2 linked regions of the Drosophila melanogaster genome follow. The protein of the gene in region 1 interacts with the protein of each later gene in a biochemical or structural test. Each region holds a gene or a part of one and is shown in the gene's direction. Other genes may lie near its edges. The genes, in order: CycD and vih.

Evidence for each region.
Region 2: of the proteins of CycD (region 1) and vih, one has a biochemical effect on the other in vitro, tested with the Drosophila melanogaster proteins (one study listed by BioGRID).

Annotation. Positions count from the first base shown.
Region 1 is NC_004354.4:15,903,821-15,913,302, reverse strand, and holds CycD (cyclin D), read left to right. Parts: upstream 1-3,626; 5' UTR 3,627-4,193; coding exon 4,194-4,766; intron 4,767-4,984; coding exon 4,985-5,206; intron 5,207-5,269; coding exon 5,270-5,444; intron 5,445-5,503; coding exon 5,504-5,649; intron 5,650-5,711; coding exon 5,712-6,029; 3' UTR 6,030-6,481; downstream 6,482-9,482. Other genes in the region: Lrp4 (LDL receptor related protein 4), read right to left, coding at 1-524, 1,180-1,231; shi (shibire), read right to left, coding at 7,379-7,529.
Region 2 is NT_037436.4:12,499,974-12,508,208, forward strand, and holds vih (vihar), read left to right. Parts: upstream 1-4,318; 5' UTR 4,319-4,572; coding exon 4,573-4,679; intron 4,680-4,745; coding exon 4,746-5,175; 3' UTR 5,176-5,836; downstream 5,837-8,235. Other genes in the region: CG10638 (uncharacterized protein), read right to left, coding at 1,192-1,263; CG10681 (uncharacterized protein), read left to right, coding at 1,808-1,974, 2,031-2,502; CG10646 (uncharacterized protein), read right to left, coding at 2,652-3,632, 3,684-3,854; CG10654 (uncharacterized protein), read right to left, coding at 5,837-6,514, 7,177-7,737.

The DNA of each region.
Region 1 (9,482 bases):
TTGACTGGGATCGTCCTGCACCAGAACGGCCAGATTGACTCTAAATGGCTTCTGTTTGTTACTCGGACCACCTATAAAACCATCTCGACCACGTGAACTGATTCGATCAGTTTCGCGAATGCCGGCTATTTCGGTTCTACCCCTCTGGGCGCCAATGTTCCGGAACTTGGGAGTATCGTTTGAATTTGTGCCACCGGATATTCTAGTCTTGGATGGCACAGACGATTCCATCGTATGCAATCTTCCCTCTCCACTATGATGCACCTCCTGGCTATCCTCGTTATTCTGCTGATACGGCGGATAGTTGGAGACGGGAAAGAGTTTCTCGCCGAACTTGCTCAGCTCCTCCGACAGCTGATCCTCCCGCGACTCGTTGCCCGCCTCTAAATGTCCGATTCTGGCATCCGAGTGCAGCTGCTTGTGCTTATTCCAATCCCAACGACCCAGTGCGTTTGTCGGGTGAATTCCATAGTGGGGCGCGTTACGTTTCACAGCAGTTTTTGTCAAGTCGCCGAGACCGAGACCTAGTCAAAGGATTTAAATCGATACCATTTAACTTCTAATTAGCTCAAAATGCAGCAAAGGCTTTTGCCTTATCATACAAGTTCAGTCGTGTTAAGTTGAATTGAATGTTAACTACAAGTAGTTAAAGGAAAACCCCCCTATTTCTCATTCAAAGCAGATAGCAAAAGGCACGTTTTGCTATTGTTCCCACGCCACTGCAATGTTCTTGGAAAATACAACACTTTTCATAGGAAAGGAGCATTGAATGCAATGCTTCTGATTTGATACATACAAAGGTCATGTCTTGAGTTAAAAGGTTTTCCAATAGTTCAAAAACAGCTTTACAAAAACATGCATACATATGTACATACATACATATGTACATAGTCATGGACACGTTTTGTATGCAAGCAATATCCTTAAATAAAAAAGTTTCATTCAATTCGATGCATGTTCTTTGATGCCTTGCACATACATATTATAGATTGCATGTTCCTGGAAATTCGTATTACAATTAAGCCCTCTTGAGCAGGGAATTTTCTCAATTGGCTAGTTTTCGTGTGCAAGTTTTCATTGAGCAAAAAGTGCTGTTGGTCTGAGCGCATCGTGGGCGTTAACAGAGAGATACCCTTCATCTCCCCCCAGGACAAACTGTGTTGCGAGGACAATACTTACAGAGCCACACGAAGCATACCAATGGCCAAAAGGGAAAGGCTGTCAAATACATGTCCAGACATGTACACAAACTCGCCCACTCATAGGCACGTAACGTAGTAGCGCTGCGAGCTTTACTGCTTTTGCTTCCGAAGCATTTGCTGCTCTGCTAAGCGGATGCTGCTGCTGCTGCTGCTGCTGCTGTGCTGTTGCTTTCTGCTAACTGCTGTTCCGATTCTGTTAAGAGAAAGAGAGGAAGGTAGAGAGAAGGAGGTTTTCGTATTGAGCGCTTGCGTATAACATATTTTGCTACCAAGGCGGATCTAGAGTTTTATATATATATTTCTTTTTTTGAGGGGGGGCGGGGCGTAACTTTTAAAATAATGAAATTCACTCAATGATTTTTTGTCTCTAGGTTTTGGACAATATAAAGTTAATGCAAAGTTTTGGGCTTGGGGGAGGGGGGTTACTATGCGCAAAACCCGCCCACCTGATGTATATGTTGTGTATATGTTACACTTAAGCACACTCGTTCTTTGCGTAGGTGTCACTCAATAGATTTTACTCTATTCATCTTATTTGTAAGCACTTGGTTACTTCTGGTCTTTGTTATTTACTTATTGTGTCACTGGGTTTTTTATGATTTACATAAATGTTTATTGTAAGTTAATAAATTTAAATGCCTGGCTTGTACGTCCTCAACATTTTTCACATTACGCTGTCTCACTAAACAGAAGGTTTATTGTGACTTTGTAGGTCCAGGACCGACTCCGTGAATGGATCAAATATCATGCGGCACGGCATTCATGGCACTACTTCATTCAATGTATATCCTATTATAAAGTTGCGTGGGCTTGGCACTGCGTTTGGCATTTCCAGAATGTGGTATAAAGGTGTTTATAACGTCCTGCGAAGTCCCCTCGCAAATGAATGCGATATTTGGGACTTTGTTGGCATTTATGTATGTATGTCATGAGCACCACACACGCGAACATATGCATATTAAACACAGTATTATTAAACAAAAAGAACCTCCTGAAACTTTGACACTTTTCGATTCCAATTAGCAAGTGGCGGGCGAGAACAATTGAATCAGCTAATTGTTCCACACACATTTGTGTGGGTAATTTACGTGAATGAAAAATTATTTTCGTACAGCACGTCTCTTGTCTTCTTCGGGAATATAACGAATATAAAATTTCAGGGGATTACAGCATCCCTCTGACGGAAAGCGAAGTCGGCGGACGCGAGTGTTCCACTCAACTCTCGTGTGCTGTTTCAAAGTTTTCTCTGAATCCTTAAGCTTTTTCTGGGAAGCGAGCTTTTGTCTGTGTGCCGAGAGTGAGGGTAAATTAATTTGCAACAACTAAGTTAGCAAAATGCGAACCCAATTAAGGATTGTATCATTGAAAGCATTCTCCACGCTGCAGTTTTTCCTAAAAAACAACAAAAAACTGCAGCACCGAAATTAGGACAATGGACATGGAAGTCCATTTTAATCTCGATGTGTACATATATCGGTACATCATTTCTCGGAAGGGATCCACAGGTTACTTTTGTTTATCATTAACCTGGCATTCCTAAGTCGCGAAAGCTTTTTACCCTTTTATCAATATCTTATTAATTATTAAACAAAGCAGCAAAGATTATATCTTTTTTTTACAATTGCTTTTAGAATTTTTTTAGTGAAATTATTTTAGGTTTCTTACATGTCTTACTGTTTGTCATCTAAAACTGTTTAAGTACAACCCTAAAGAAAATAACAGCAGTTCAATGCTTTTTGTAAGCGGTACAGGATCTTTAAGTGCAGCATTCATTTATTTACGACTCTTTCGAACAACCTGCCATTTAATCAACAGGTTCCGGCCATTTAAACGGAATTTAATAAGGGTGTTTTGATCACGATTCAACCTAGTAGGGTGATGCCAGTGAGTTTTGCATTACTGACCATTTTGTCGTGGACCACGATCGTTAAATGTATGACATGCCGAAAGATCGACTGTCAGTACCATCCTTACATGAATGCAGGGTGGCAACGCCCTAGCATATTTTAGTATTTTTGATTTTGCTGGAGTAATTGGAACACTTGAGTGATGTGAAATTCACATCAAGAGTAAGTTCGTAAGATCGTATAACAAAAAGCTTATTTAAGAAAAAAAGTAGTGCAATTAGAAGAACTTTGTTTTTATTATAAGGGTAAGACCCTTTTATAGTCCATCAAACCCATTGATGGATTATAAGTTTTTAATGTTCTAATAACAACCCTAAGTGAAACATATTTCACAAGCAACAAGTTGGAAACGCAATGAGGAGGTTCCCCTTTTCAACGTATTTCGCTTGCCTTTCATTGCAAAGGATAGTACTATACTAATAACCGATGAAGATCGATATGTTTTACTGATCGCAGTGAGCAAGAGATATAACTCCGATGACGGCATGCTGAACTAGTTTTTTTCTGCCATAAGGTGTAACTATCTGGTTCACATAAATGCTTTGTCCACGCCGGTTAAGTGGCAAACGTGTGCAACTTCGAGTATACTTTTTTAATAGTTAATTTACATTACTCCATGAAGTGCTGTGCCGTTTGTATATAACCAGAATTCCGAGAATAGGCGTAAGTGAAAACTTTTGTTCTCGAGCTGATCGTACATAGCCATGCATGTACATGTACATAAGTACATAGTGTGAAATGAACGAGTTATTTCTGAGCAGGTCGAAAAAATATGTAAATAATGTAATGTGCATATGAATAAGTCAAGGTATTAGGGTTATATGCTATACTCTAGTGCTCCCACAGGACTAAACACATATGCCCGCAGTGTGCCCATACTTGAGCAAATACTTGAATTAAATGTGAAAAGAAGGTTGCAACATACATATGTATGTATGTACTTATGTACGATCATTTCCTATTGTACGCAGTGTTCCCATATCGGAGTTACCCAAAGTTCCTGATAAATCGGCACACATAAATGGCTTGAGAGTGCGGCGATCCATAGAATCCATAGCTTTAAACGGAACGTATGGCCGATATAATGGATCTTTTATGCTCGGAAATCATAGTCTACGAATCAGATCCATCATTGTATCGTTTGAACAAACGACAGCAGCAAATGTCCTCACCGGCGATCATTCGGGATCAATCATCGATATGTTCATCCTTGGGGGACGCGGAATCCGATTCCCATCCGGATGCCCAGAACAATGCCGTAGTGTGCAATATGAAGGAGCTGGTGTATATATACGCGTCCGTGGACTCGGCTGCGAAAAATCCAGAACAATTGGAGCCGCCTCCGCCACCTCCACCACCGCCGCCACCACCACCGACAGCGACCCAATCAATCCAAAGTTATCCGCGTTACATCAGCCAGGAGCCACCGACGTCACATTGCCAACGACTCGACGAACGCCTGACCACAACAGCCGATCCACCCGCAACCGACAACGTGAACACTGCCATCGGGGATCCCACATTGTATTCGGATCGGTGTCTGGAGAATTTCCTCAAGGTCGAGGAGAAGCACCACAAAATTCCCGACACGTACTTTAGCATCCAGAAGGATATTACGCCACCGATGCGCAAAATTGTCGCCGAATGGATGATGGAAGTGAGTAATTAAACGAAATGTAGATACAGCATCCAAATCATATCAAGCTAGCCGACTGTGATATACGCATTATTTATAATCTGTTAGAAAATATTACCAAATAGATGGAAGTTTCCAAGAACTTCATTAATTAGTGTTTGTTTTAGTAGTCCTTATCGCACACCCATTACAATATTTTGACTACCCTTTTCGTTCATTAATTGAATACATGTTCACAGGTGTGTGCCGAGGAAAATTGCCAGGAAGAGGTCGTATTACTGGCATTAAATTACATGGATCGATTTCTTTCGAGCAAATCAGTACGCAAGACCCAGCTACAAATTTTGGCCGCAGCTTGCCTCTTACTGGCTTCAAAGCTCCGTGAACCCAGCTGTCGTGCTCTTTCGGTGGATCTACTCGTTGTTTACACGGACAACAGCATCTACAAGGATGATTTGATTGTAAGTACCTTTCTCGTAATACAATACCTTTCGGTGAACATGCGGTTTCATTTCATTCCCAAGAAATGGGAGCTGTATGTGCTAAGTCGCTTGGGCTGGGACCTCTCATCTGTGACTCCCTTGGACTTCCTTGAGCTTCTGATGATGCGCCTGCCGATAGGCAGCAAAAACTTTCCGGACATAAACATTGGCAAAGTGCGGGGACATGCTCAGGCATTTATATCGTTGGCAGCAAAAGGTAAGCCATATACAAAACAGTCCAACTTAAGTACTGACTTCCCACCCCTTCCTTTGAAGAACATAAGTTTGCCAAGTTCTCGGCCAGCACCATAGCTGCATCGAGCATAGCTGCGTCAATGAATGGCCTAAAGTGGCATCTGCGATCGGGACACAATCTACACTTCCTTTTGAGTCTGATGACCGATCTAACCAGCGTGGAGCAAGTGAGTATGGCAAGGGAGCAGTGTTGTTATGTACCACCACTCAATTGATTTTAAATGCACAGGCTCAGGTGCGAGATTGTATGCTGCACATGGAGGACATCTTTAAGGAGCACAGTCGGAATCTAGAGCCATTTCTAGTGAATATTGACCCAAAAGAAATGTCAACATTATACTACAAGAGGCGCTTCCAAATACATCAATCGCAGCATCTCTCGCAAATCTCAATTAGACCCTTGCCGCTACCGAAAGCTCCTGCCGAGTGCGTGGAGCAACACCAGCAGCAGCACAACTTTGGGTCCGCAGCGCCACATCGGACGCACACGTGCAAGATGCAGGCGCAGGCTCAGGCTCAAAACGAGATACAAGACGTTACATTTTGAGGTGTCAAATGATAGTTATGCATACATGATAGTTATGTCAGGCTTAAGTTGAAATTATATATAGGATCCAAATAGTCCGATCACTATAGGATTGGCCAATATCACACTATTTACATTTGAATCGATGTATTTTATATGTACGCAACTATTTTTTACCAAACTATGGGTTATTATTTTTAGCTATCCTAAATATTTTGTATAAAATAGTTTTAAATAATCATCATGAAACTTTGAAATGGATGAAACATAAAAACGAGACTGATTGTAAGCAGCAAAGCAACATTTTTTTTTTGTATATAAGCTTTTCGAAATCCTACACAGATAACCAAAAAAGAACGAACTATTAAATGCAATTTTTTTAAAAACCATCCAACATAAAGAGAAAAACAATATGTTAAAGTTAACTTTGGATAACAATTATATAAGTTGGCAAATAAATGATAGAAAAAAGCAATTTCTTCTCTGCCCTCTATGATGTATGTATATTTTCGTATAATTTACTTTCAGATAAATCGCATTAGCTTACCAAACGAATCCAAGTAGTTAAAGGCAATGCGAATAATTTAATTTTTCTTTATTTTCTTATTAACAAACGTCTATAAACAAGAATCGTTAAAGACCATAACCTTAACACACACATAATATTTATCATTGAATAGGTTTTTGTATAATTTCTTGCGGACATTGCGTTGCTAAATAATATTTGTTCGCATATAATTCATTGCTCTGAGGATAGTTTAGTTCATACAAGTTTTTAGAGTGAGTACATAGTTCGATTTTTTTTTTACCATCAATGTAGAAGCATTGTAACACTGCAATTAACGATTTTCCTTTTAGATATTTCTTCGGTTTTTGTTTTGAGCTTTAAAAAAATACTGGCTTTATTGCATTCCTGCACTCGTCCGCCTCCTGCACTGCGATTCGAAATATCATATATGTACGGATATATGTAATACCATCTGGAAACGAAAACTATGAAGCTAGCAGCACTGTTTTTTACATATACATAAATACTCGTTTTGGAAAATAAATTTTTTTTTTTTTATTTCACGTTCAAATATACTTTAAAAAGTAAATGGTATCCCCGATAAACTTAATTCGAAAGCACTAATTTGAATGTTGAATTGTCCAAAAGATCATGTGTAAAACACTTTTTAAATTTTTCCATCGAATTTTCGAAACAACTGGATGGGAATTGCCATCTTTTTGGGATTTACATCTTTGATAAAAAAAAAAATGATGTGATATGGTTGGTGGGGGGAGGGGTTTCGCGTGCTGGCTCTCTAAGTTTCTGTTTCTGTTAATAATTAAGCATACTCTGGCATGCTGTGCACTCAATTACGCGGCCATTACTTGAATCGCGAACTGAAGGCATTGGACAACTCATTGATGGCTGCCTGGCCCACCGCCTGGTTCACCTGTCCACGCATACTCTCCGGCACATAGCGATTGGCTCCCGATTGCTGGACAATGGCGCCGCCGACAGCTCCGGACACACGGCTTTGAAAATGAACAAGGGGATTAATTTAAGTTTTTGAAGTATGTGATGTGCTTGAATTGAGAGATTCGGCGTATATATGTGTATGTATATGATGTATCCATGTGTGTATGTATATAAATTCAAATCGTTCGGATTTGATCCGAAGTTGGATTGAGTATCACCTCTAGCACTAACCAACTTCTACTTCGCACAGATTTCGACGAGATACACACCAAACGTGAAGCAATAGGTAGCTGATAGTCGACTATATTCCCCGCCAGTAAGCAATACACACTTATGTAATACGAACAATTTATGTATTTATTTATGCACTTTATTTGTGTGTATACGTAAACTGGTCATATGTAATTTAAGTTGTTGCATATTTCCATCGTCACAATCCATTTGAGTAAGTCACAAGAGTATTTTCATGACTTATATATTTGTAATCAACATTATAAATAATACAATTGTACATAAAAATATTGGAAACACGTATTTTGTATATATATATTTACACATATATATATATATATATATATATTTATATATATGTGTGTGTGTATATGTATATAGATATATTTAGGTTTGTTGTGGCAAAAAAGCGGTTTAATATCAATTTAAAAGAAATTATATTTTTTGACTTGGCTATAATTATGGATATACATGTAATTGTGTTAAATTATTATTATAATTTTTTTTCTTCTTTGTATGCTCCTGGGAATCGATACAAACCACTCAAAAAATCTCAGCAAATTTCGCAAATATTAACTATCGCAATCAAAATAACCAGCTTTCACATTGAATTCAAATCAGTACTTTGACCTCTGACCTGACCAAACTTATGCAAATATGTAACTACAAATACGAAGAGGAATGGACAATACAAATAAGCGTTAACTTAATCCTGTAACTTAATCGTTTCTTGGAAACGGGACAGCTGATGATTCCACAAATCCGAGAATCCGGATGGGGAATATGTACATACATACAAATAACATGTTTCTTACAGAAATTAATCGTATTAATTTATGGCGAACAAATCGTAATCATAAACATAATCATAATACGATATAGCGATAAGCGAAAGCAACGCCTACTTAATTAGTTAGAATCCCCAATATGTAATTGCAGTGTGCATTTTCGTTAAATGGATGGGGGAATTTAGTGTTTAGTATTAGTTCGATTTTAGTTGTTAATTAGTGTTAGTTTGCTTCTTAAGTTCAAGGAAATACTTTGTGACTGACTTGAAATGTTCTCAACGCTGCGTTACCTAACATTTTCTAATTTAATTGGGTTTTTTTTTTTTATAGTTTAACATCAACAACAACACAATGCAGTTAACGAAAGCTATTTATTAATAGTTAGCTATATAATTAAGATCATTGGTTAATATCGTCACTAAGCATCTGCCCATACAAATAGTTTACATAACTTTTGAGCGTATGCCGTTGATAATGTGTGGAGAGTTAGGGGAGGGGGGGTGTACATCAAGTAATCAATTAATCAAATAATATTAATAATTAATTAGGCATGCACGAACAAATGCACAGACATTTGTACACATATGTATATATTGTTTATATCTACACAGGGAAGTAGACATTACGAAAAACATCTTATGGAATTAAAGAAATCATGTGCATCTCGACTAGTTGCTTTTCACATATTAAGAATTTATATCAGTTTCAACGCTTCAGATTATATATATATATGACTACAATAATACGCAAGCGATTCAAATGTATCGATTTCCCATCGTTGTTGATTTCTGGATTTCTAGGATTTAAGGATCATTTTCATGGTTTGTTTTTTGTTTTTTCTTTGCTTTTTTTTTTGTAAATTTCTGGATTTTGCCGGAATAATATCAAATTACAATTGTTGAAAGTAGAATTTGGGTATTGTTTGTGGTTTGGTTAAATCGTCAGCAAGCTACGTTTTGCAGATTCATCCCCTAGATACATATGTAGATG
Region 2 (8,235 bases), on another chromosome or scaffold:
TAGTACGGATAGTACTGATGATTCTTCGCTTTATCGAATTTCCAGATTCTGCGCCCTGTATTAAAGGTCTTCATTTGGAGCAACTCCTCCGGCGTTAGGTGGAAATCAAATATATCCAGATTCTCTACGAGATGGGCTCGCTGGGCAGCTTTTGGAATAGGTACCGTGCCAATATCGATCTGTAGATTTTTAGCCAATAAATATCTTTATCACTTTACAATTCTAAGGTCGTTTATACCAAGTATCTTAGGATGATTTGAGCTGGTGTCTTGCCGTATTTCGCTGCCAACGCCAGTAGCTTGGAATCAGTGTAGTAATCGGGCAGCGGATTGCAGGCTTTGGGACGCCCCAGTGGCGAATAGGCAACCACGGTGATATTGTGAAATTTACAGAGCTCAATTAATGGGACTTGCACCAATTCCGGATGACATTCTATTTGTAGGTTTGCCGGCTTGATTTGGCAGTTTTCCAGTAATCTCTTCAGCTGATTGGCATTAAAGTTGGACAATCCCAAGCTGCGCACCAGCCCCAGATGCACCAGTTGCTCCATACTTCTGTAGGTGTCCACATAGTCCACATCGCTATAAGTTCCAAAGATCAGTTTCTTTAAGCTTCTTGAATCTAAACTATGTATGTTTAGTTGTATCCCAAACTCACTTGGTCCTCAGCTGGCCATTCTCGTGGGGCATCAGATCTTCATCAGAGATGTAGTCCACGCCCACCGGCGAATGCATCAGATATAGATCTATATAGTCCACGCCCAGTAGCTTTAATTGCATATCACAGGCGTATTTCACCATCTTGGGTTCGTGGTATATGTCCCACAGCTAATTGGATATTGATTTTCGATCTATTTACATGTGCTGGTAACTATATATAACCCATCTGTACTATATCCTACCTTTGTGACCAGAAACACCTGTTCGCGTTTCAGTTTCTGGTCGCCAATAAGTTTAGCTAAAACCTTGCCTATAATGCCTTCATTCCTGTACAGATATGCGGTGTCTATATGCCGATAGCCCATTTCGAGGGCGTGGCACACGGCAGCCTCACAGCGAGACTTCTTTAACTACAGATAACATAATTAACTTTCAATTTCACAATTGCACTTAATTGGAATTGAATGGTAGAAATTTCCATAAACAATTTCTGCCTGCTGATTTATTAGCATCGCCGATGATAAGGACTTACATTGTAGGTTCCTAGGCCCAGAATTGGCATCTCGTAGCCATTGTTTAGCTTAACAGTCGGAGCGAGCTTCATTTTGCACGTTTAAATCAAGAATAAATAAGGAAATTCAATCGCTTAATAAAAAAAAAGCCGGTGAGCATAGTGTGACCAAAACGGCTTTGCGTAAAAATACCCAATGCCATTCTGCTAAGCTTTATTATTTAAATATTTTTAAGTGTTTAAATAGCTAAAGAAACTTTGATTTATATTAAATAGGAACAAATGTTGTCATAAAACAGTGTTAATTTTATGTTAAAAAGTAAAATGTTCAAATTTAATTACGGCAGTGCTTTTGCATTTTGGCAGCTTGCAGCACTGGTTTATAACTAGTACTTAAACAGCTGTTACGAAAATATCTTTTTTTTTAAGAAATCTAAACAAAAGAACTTTTAAAATAGATGGAAACATGAGATCCATTTGAAAACGTAAATAAAAATAGAAAAAACTAAAACTGCCAGCAAACGCACACAAAGCAGAGTTCAAGTTGTCGCAAAGAAACCTTGAGACCTTGAAAAGCAAGTAAACAAATCAATTTTTGTGTTCTCCCTTATTATAAACAAATAAATTCTAGGCTACAATGAGCCACTTGGGCCTTGCGGATGTGCACCAGTCCGAGGATGCCACTCCTGACCTGGAATCCTTCACTGGCTTCGGCAACTCCGCCGCCGAGGCCTTCATTCAAAGTCTCGCAGGAATGGTGAATCAGGGCGATGTGGAGACCATGATACGGGCTCAAAAGCAAATGTAAGCCATTTCATTTAACCAGAGATTATAATAAACATCCAAAATATATCCCACAGGCTGCAACGCTTTGAGAAAACCAACGAGATGCTGCTCAACTGCAATGCCTTATCGCAGAGTCGTTTGAAAAGTGCCAGCGAGGATTTCAAAAGACACGTGAAATGCCTGAGCGAAATGAAGAAGGATCTGGATTACATATTCCGCAAGATACGGATCATCAAGCAGAAGCTACAGTCGCAGTTTCCCGCCATTTACGCCGAAGTTCAGCCGCAGCGTAGCAGTTTGGCTGAGGAAGCCGAGGATGATACGGAAGCCCAGGCTAAAAAGACTGCAGAAACACCTGCTCCTGCTGCCGCAAAACCTGTCCTATCCACCAAGAAAAGTGCCGCCACCATAGAGTACGTGCAGATGGAGGAGGCAGTGGACAATGGCACTGTGGAGATCGAAAACGAGCTGATCAAGCGAGTTTGTTCCGTGGAAACTGCCAATCCCAATGATTCCTCCGACTGCACATCCGAGGATACAGGTTAAGCCTAATTAGCTTTAGTCCCTCGATATATTTATCTTCATATAATAACTTATTGGTTTAATATTTGTATAACCTGCTACTACATACAAGGACACAATTCGTTTAGTTAGATTTAAATGAAATATGCGTAATAATTTAAGAAACTAATGGCTTAAAATATAATCTGGTACTTGTACTGCTTGGGCACCTTTGAGATTATGACGCGACCATCGTAGCTGAGCGAAGCAAAGATCCACGGATCCACATTGCTCCACTCCGCGCAGTAAACGGAGTCCTCGTGCTGATCGAAGGTCTGCAGCAGACCATCTGGCAAGAGTTTGTGCCTCTCCTCGGCATCGGCACCACTGAAGTTGGACTCATCTAGTCCAGCCTGAACCTGCGTCTCCGAACTAACCGATCCCGCACACGTGAGCAGCACCTTGCAGTCACTGGAGCTGGAGAGGATCAGTTGGTCGTGGAATGTGTTGAAGCGAACGCACCAGACCCAATGCGAATGATCGGAGCGCTCGAAAACGGGAGCCTTGGGCATGCGACAGTCCCAGATCCTCAAGTAGCCATCGTCACCGCCGGTGACCAAATGGCACTGCTTGTTGGGATTGCAGTCCAGGTCACGGACCATTTGACCATGCGCATCGTTGATGCTCCAGGCACAATGCTGTGTATCCCGCACATCGTAGGCACTTAGATTGCCATCCTGGAGGGTGAGAAACTGGTGGCCCTGATGATGATGCGACCACTTGCCGCTGGTGAAATGCTGTGTGTGCTTTGCAGATCCACTGGATGAACCACTGGCCGGCACCTCGGCCACCACGCGAGTAGAGGACTCGGCCCGCTGCATCACAGCCACCTTGTTGTCCACCACACAGGCGAGTGTGTCCTGGTTGGGATGGAATTCGATGGTCTTCACACGTTCGCCCAGTGCTTCGGTATCCAGGACCTCAACCTGCTCCCACGGCAGGTACTCTGACTTCAGCTGCTCCGGATCGGGATTGAGATTCTCGGGCAGCGTAAACAGAGCCGCTTTGGTCAGCACTTGTGCTCCCTTTTGTACATTGTAGACGGAGGCCAGCAGGCGAGGATTACGCGGACAACTATTTAGTTTCCAAACTTCACCCAGGGCGTGCTCAAAGACCTGTTCAAAGTTGTATGTTTAGCTCATACTTTGATCATCCCAGATATTCACCTTTGATTGCACGGATCCCTGCTCCTCCTCGTACTGGATTAAGTGAACCTGATTGGTGGGCTTCAAGGAGTTGGTGGCTATGAAGAAGCACACATCGTTGCTCTCTCCGTACTGAGGTGTTAAAGCCCGCGCCTGCAGTTCGAGTCCGTAGATTAAGCTATTTTCATCCATTTTCCACGATTTACTCAATGTTTTGATTTCGCTGGATATCTAGGTACGCAACTTACGTACACTAAACGGCGTACCTAAAAGTGTTGGTAAGCATTTATCACAAGGTGGCAGCCCTCGATCATATTACAAAACAATATATAATTTATTTTAATAAAATTAAAATATTTACATATATAAAGAGGCTTAAATATATGTGATTTAATATATTAAGCTCAAAATATAAAATAAATAATATTGGTATTCAAAATCCATTGATATAATTTGGTTACACTTAACGTTATGCCTTTTAAACGTGTAATAATTATACATACTTGGAATAGTAAGCTAATTATAGTATTAAGCTTAATACGTTTATAATCTTTACTTACCTTTGAAACATTTTCCGTTATCTCTCGGCCAGTGTGACCGTTCGACCACGCCAAGAGAGCGTATCGACTCCCCCCAAAAATAAATGAAATACAACCCTGTGCCCAAACACAGTTTCTTCTCGTTCTCCTTCCATTTTGTTTTCACACAAAAGTGAAAAAAAAAATATCTGAAAAAGCAACAGACGCGTATTCCGACCGATCAAACTAAATTTCCACTATACAGTACATATAATCACAATTGAGAATCGAAAACCCGACCGCCACGAAGCGCGCTAAATTACACGCACATACTGAAAGCCAAACAGCGGATAGCACTAGCATCCTACATATATAGACGTAGATATATAGTCATGGCGCAGAATATCAGCCCCGAGCAAAGTGGTGGAGCAGGCGGCGGCGGCAGCAAGCACAGCGATGACTCCATGCCCGTGAAAGACAATCACGCCGTGAGCAAAAGGTGAGTAGCACATGGTGCAGCCTAGATAATCCGCCAATATACACACACACTCACACTCACCCACAGACTGCACAAGGAACTGATGAACCTGATGATGGCCAACGAGAGGGGCATCTCAGCGTTTCCGGACGGCGAGAACATCTTCAAGTGGGTGGGCACCATAGCGGGTCCACGGAACACGGTGTATTCGGGGCAAACGTATCGTTTGTCACTGGATTTTCCCAATTCCTATCCGTATGCAGCACCCGTGGTGAAGTTCCTGACGTCCTGCTTCCATCCCAATGTTGATCTGCAGGGCGCCATCTGTTTGGACATACTGAAGGACAAATGGTCGGCCCTGTACGATGTGCGCACCATTCTGCTGTCCATACAATCCCTGCTGGGCGAACCGAACAACGAGAGTCCACTGAATGCGCAGGCCGCGATGATGTGGAATGACCAAAAGGAGTACAAAAAATATCTAGACGCCTTCTACGAGAAGCACAAGGACACCTAGAGTTTGGCAATTCGTTGTCATATATCCTATGCTCATATTGCGGCGTATTTATTTACATATAGTGCAAGCAACTCCACTCATCCGAAGACCTACTGCCAACCAACAAACCAATCATCAATCACCACCGTAACACAGTACCATCAGTTAAGTGGATCACCAGATCAATTTCAACAACGTTCAATGCTGATAGTTCATTTGGCAAAAGACCCCGTGCGTTTCTTATGTAATTGTCGATCGATTGACGGATAATCTGGTTTTTATTCTCATTTCTTTCCTCCTCCCTACAAATTAATGATAAATGAATGTATTGGTAATGTAATTTTAAAACTGTCATCCGTTCTTTAAGCTTAAGGATAAATTTTAGTTAATTGTTTTATATACGCATGATTACTTTTTTGAGAACTACTGCGAGTGCGCGCCATCGCCATCGCCATTTTTTTGTACTGATGATTTTTAAGCGACTATGCTGCTGCGCCGGCCATTATGTGAATGTTAGCTAATTTTAGGGCAGCCTCATCGATTCGTCAACCATTCGCGTCGTCTTAGTATCTCCAATTATGCGGCATTCTCCCACAATACTGGCATAACAAAATTCCAAGTAATTCGAATCATTGTAACAGTTGTGTTAGCTTGATGTTATTGAAACCACAAATAAAACGAATTATTGAACTACATCCATCGCTTTGTGTTTCCTCCCGTGAGCGTTGAGCTCCACGCTGTTCTGGAAAATGCGTCCGCATTTTCTGCATCTGAGCAGCAGATTCTTATTGCCGTGCTTGCGCAGCAGATGATCCACCATGTTCTCCTTGGTGTAGAATCTGCGATCGCAGCATTCGCAGCAGTATCTCCGACCCTCAACGCTACCATGGACCATCTTGTGGCGCGTTAGATGTGCCTTTCGCGCAAAGCACTTGCCACACTCCTCACAAATGTGCCGCGCATCCGGGGACTCTGACTCGTGATACCTTTCGTGCGTCCTTCTCATGTGATATTTGAGACTTCGGTTCGCTGTGTACACCTTGTTGCAGCTCGGACAGGCATAGATGATCCGCGCAGCGTCGGCATTGTTATGCATCTGCCGCAGGTGCGACTCCAGCAGATTGGCCCGGGCATAGCTCTTGGCACAATGGACGCAGGTATACGGTCTCAGACCCTCATGCTGCTGCATATGGGCCTCCAGCAGCGACGGTTTGTAGAAGCCACGGTGGCAAATTCGGCACTCGAGGGTGTGTCGCACTCCTCGTCGTTTTCTGGCACCCAGCAACTTGCTAGAAATGGATAGCTTCTCCTGGCCCAGATCCTGTTTGGCTGACTCGTCCTCTATTACGTAGACTTCCTCCTGGAAAATTTAGGGTATTATATATTTAATTACCATAGCAAACTGAATGGTGGTGGTTTTTTTTTTTTTTTGTGGGAATTCTGTACATATCTATTATGAAGGAATTTTTTATGTAAAAAGGGTCTAAGCATATAAAAACAAACTGCTTTTGGTTGAGTTAAGTAATTTGTAGTAAGGGTAGGAATTACATTATGTTTACTCATTACTTTAAAGTGGAAATTTTTCCTTAATTTGCTATTAAGATTATCTTATCGCTCGACTTAGAAGATGATAAAATGAAAGTAATATTTTGTGAACCGAACTTTTGGCGGTCACTTATCTGTTTAGTTTAGTTTTTTAATGCTAAAAATATTAAAGGCGCTATAAATAATATCTAAAATGAGTGAAAGTTAGGGAACACATTTATCTATTCTAGATAAAACTGGCCTTTAAAATCGACTTTCTTATTTGGAGGAGCCATAAATCGAGGCGTGTTGCCATCTTCCCAATTTTATTAGTGGAAAATTTAAAAATACCCAATAGATTGGGACGTGCCTCCTTTTCGAGTGCTATCACCCACCAAACAAAAATAGTACAACACAAACAAACGCTGTCGAAATGTTTTTGTTTATGGCGGGGAATGGGGAGCAGTATTGTCTTTGCTTGGCTGCTAGGCAACACACCTCGAGCGAAGCACCCAATGTGATTCTAGATAAGATTACGGCCAGAGGCAGGCACACTTGTGGCCAGATAAAACTCACAATCTCCTGCGTCGCTGCGATGCAGGGTGCGTGCGACTGGGCTTCCGGATTAGTGGACTCGTTGCTCTCCGAGGGGGTGTCCAAGTCGTGCCAAGTGTGGTCCTCCAGTTTGTGGCATCCGATGTCGATGTCCTGCAGCAGCTTCTCAAAATTGCGCAAGGACTCTGCGCACATGCGTTGAAAGTCGTGGAACTTTTGCACCAACTGATAGCAGCACTCGCAGATGCTTTTCAGCACCAACTGGGGTGGCAAATCCCTAACGGCATCCTCTCCAGTACAGCCGTAGTACTTGCTGGCCAGATCCTGTTCGCTGTCCAGATTGTGACACGCATCCTGCGGACCCAGTAGCACAAGACAAGCGCGGCATATCATCGTCTTGGCACCATCGCATCCATCCATGCCGGAGGTAGTGGTGGTGGTGGAATCGGCGACAATGCGACCCGCGCACAAACTCAGCTGGGAATCAAACATCGTTGCTGGCATCGTCGGGAGATTCAACGGGCCACTCAAATGGCGTGGAGCCAATTGAAATCAATTAACACAATCTGCGACGGCGGCAGTGCAGCAGTCCGGCGTCCAGCGGCCAAGCCAACGATGGCAGTAATGCCAGCGGAGAGCACGATTCCATTTCCGGGGCTTTCGAATTGCGGGACATTGAAAGCTGCTGCCGAAAAGCTGCGTGGGATCAGCCCCAAAAGCTTGGCGTCGACTCCATGCCCCCAACTATTCTATTCGAAAAGCTATCCTGCATAGTAAAATTGATTTAAAATATTATGCGACTTCTTTAATTAATTAAAAAATATTTCCTTTAATATGCTTCGATATTTTAGTGATCAAAATAAATATATTAATTTAATATGAATTACCTTTTTTATCAAAATCTCAAGTTTTATTTGTGTATACAGCACAAAGTATTTAAAGAGTAAATTAAGTAATTTTTAAAAGATTCTGCCATGTGATTTTAGGCAATCGTTACACATG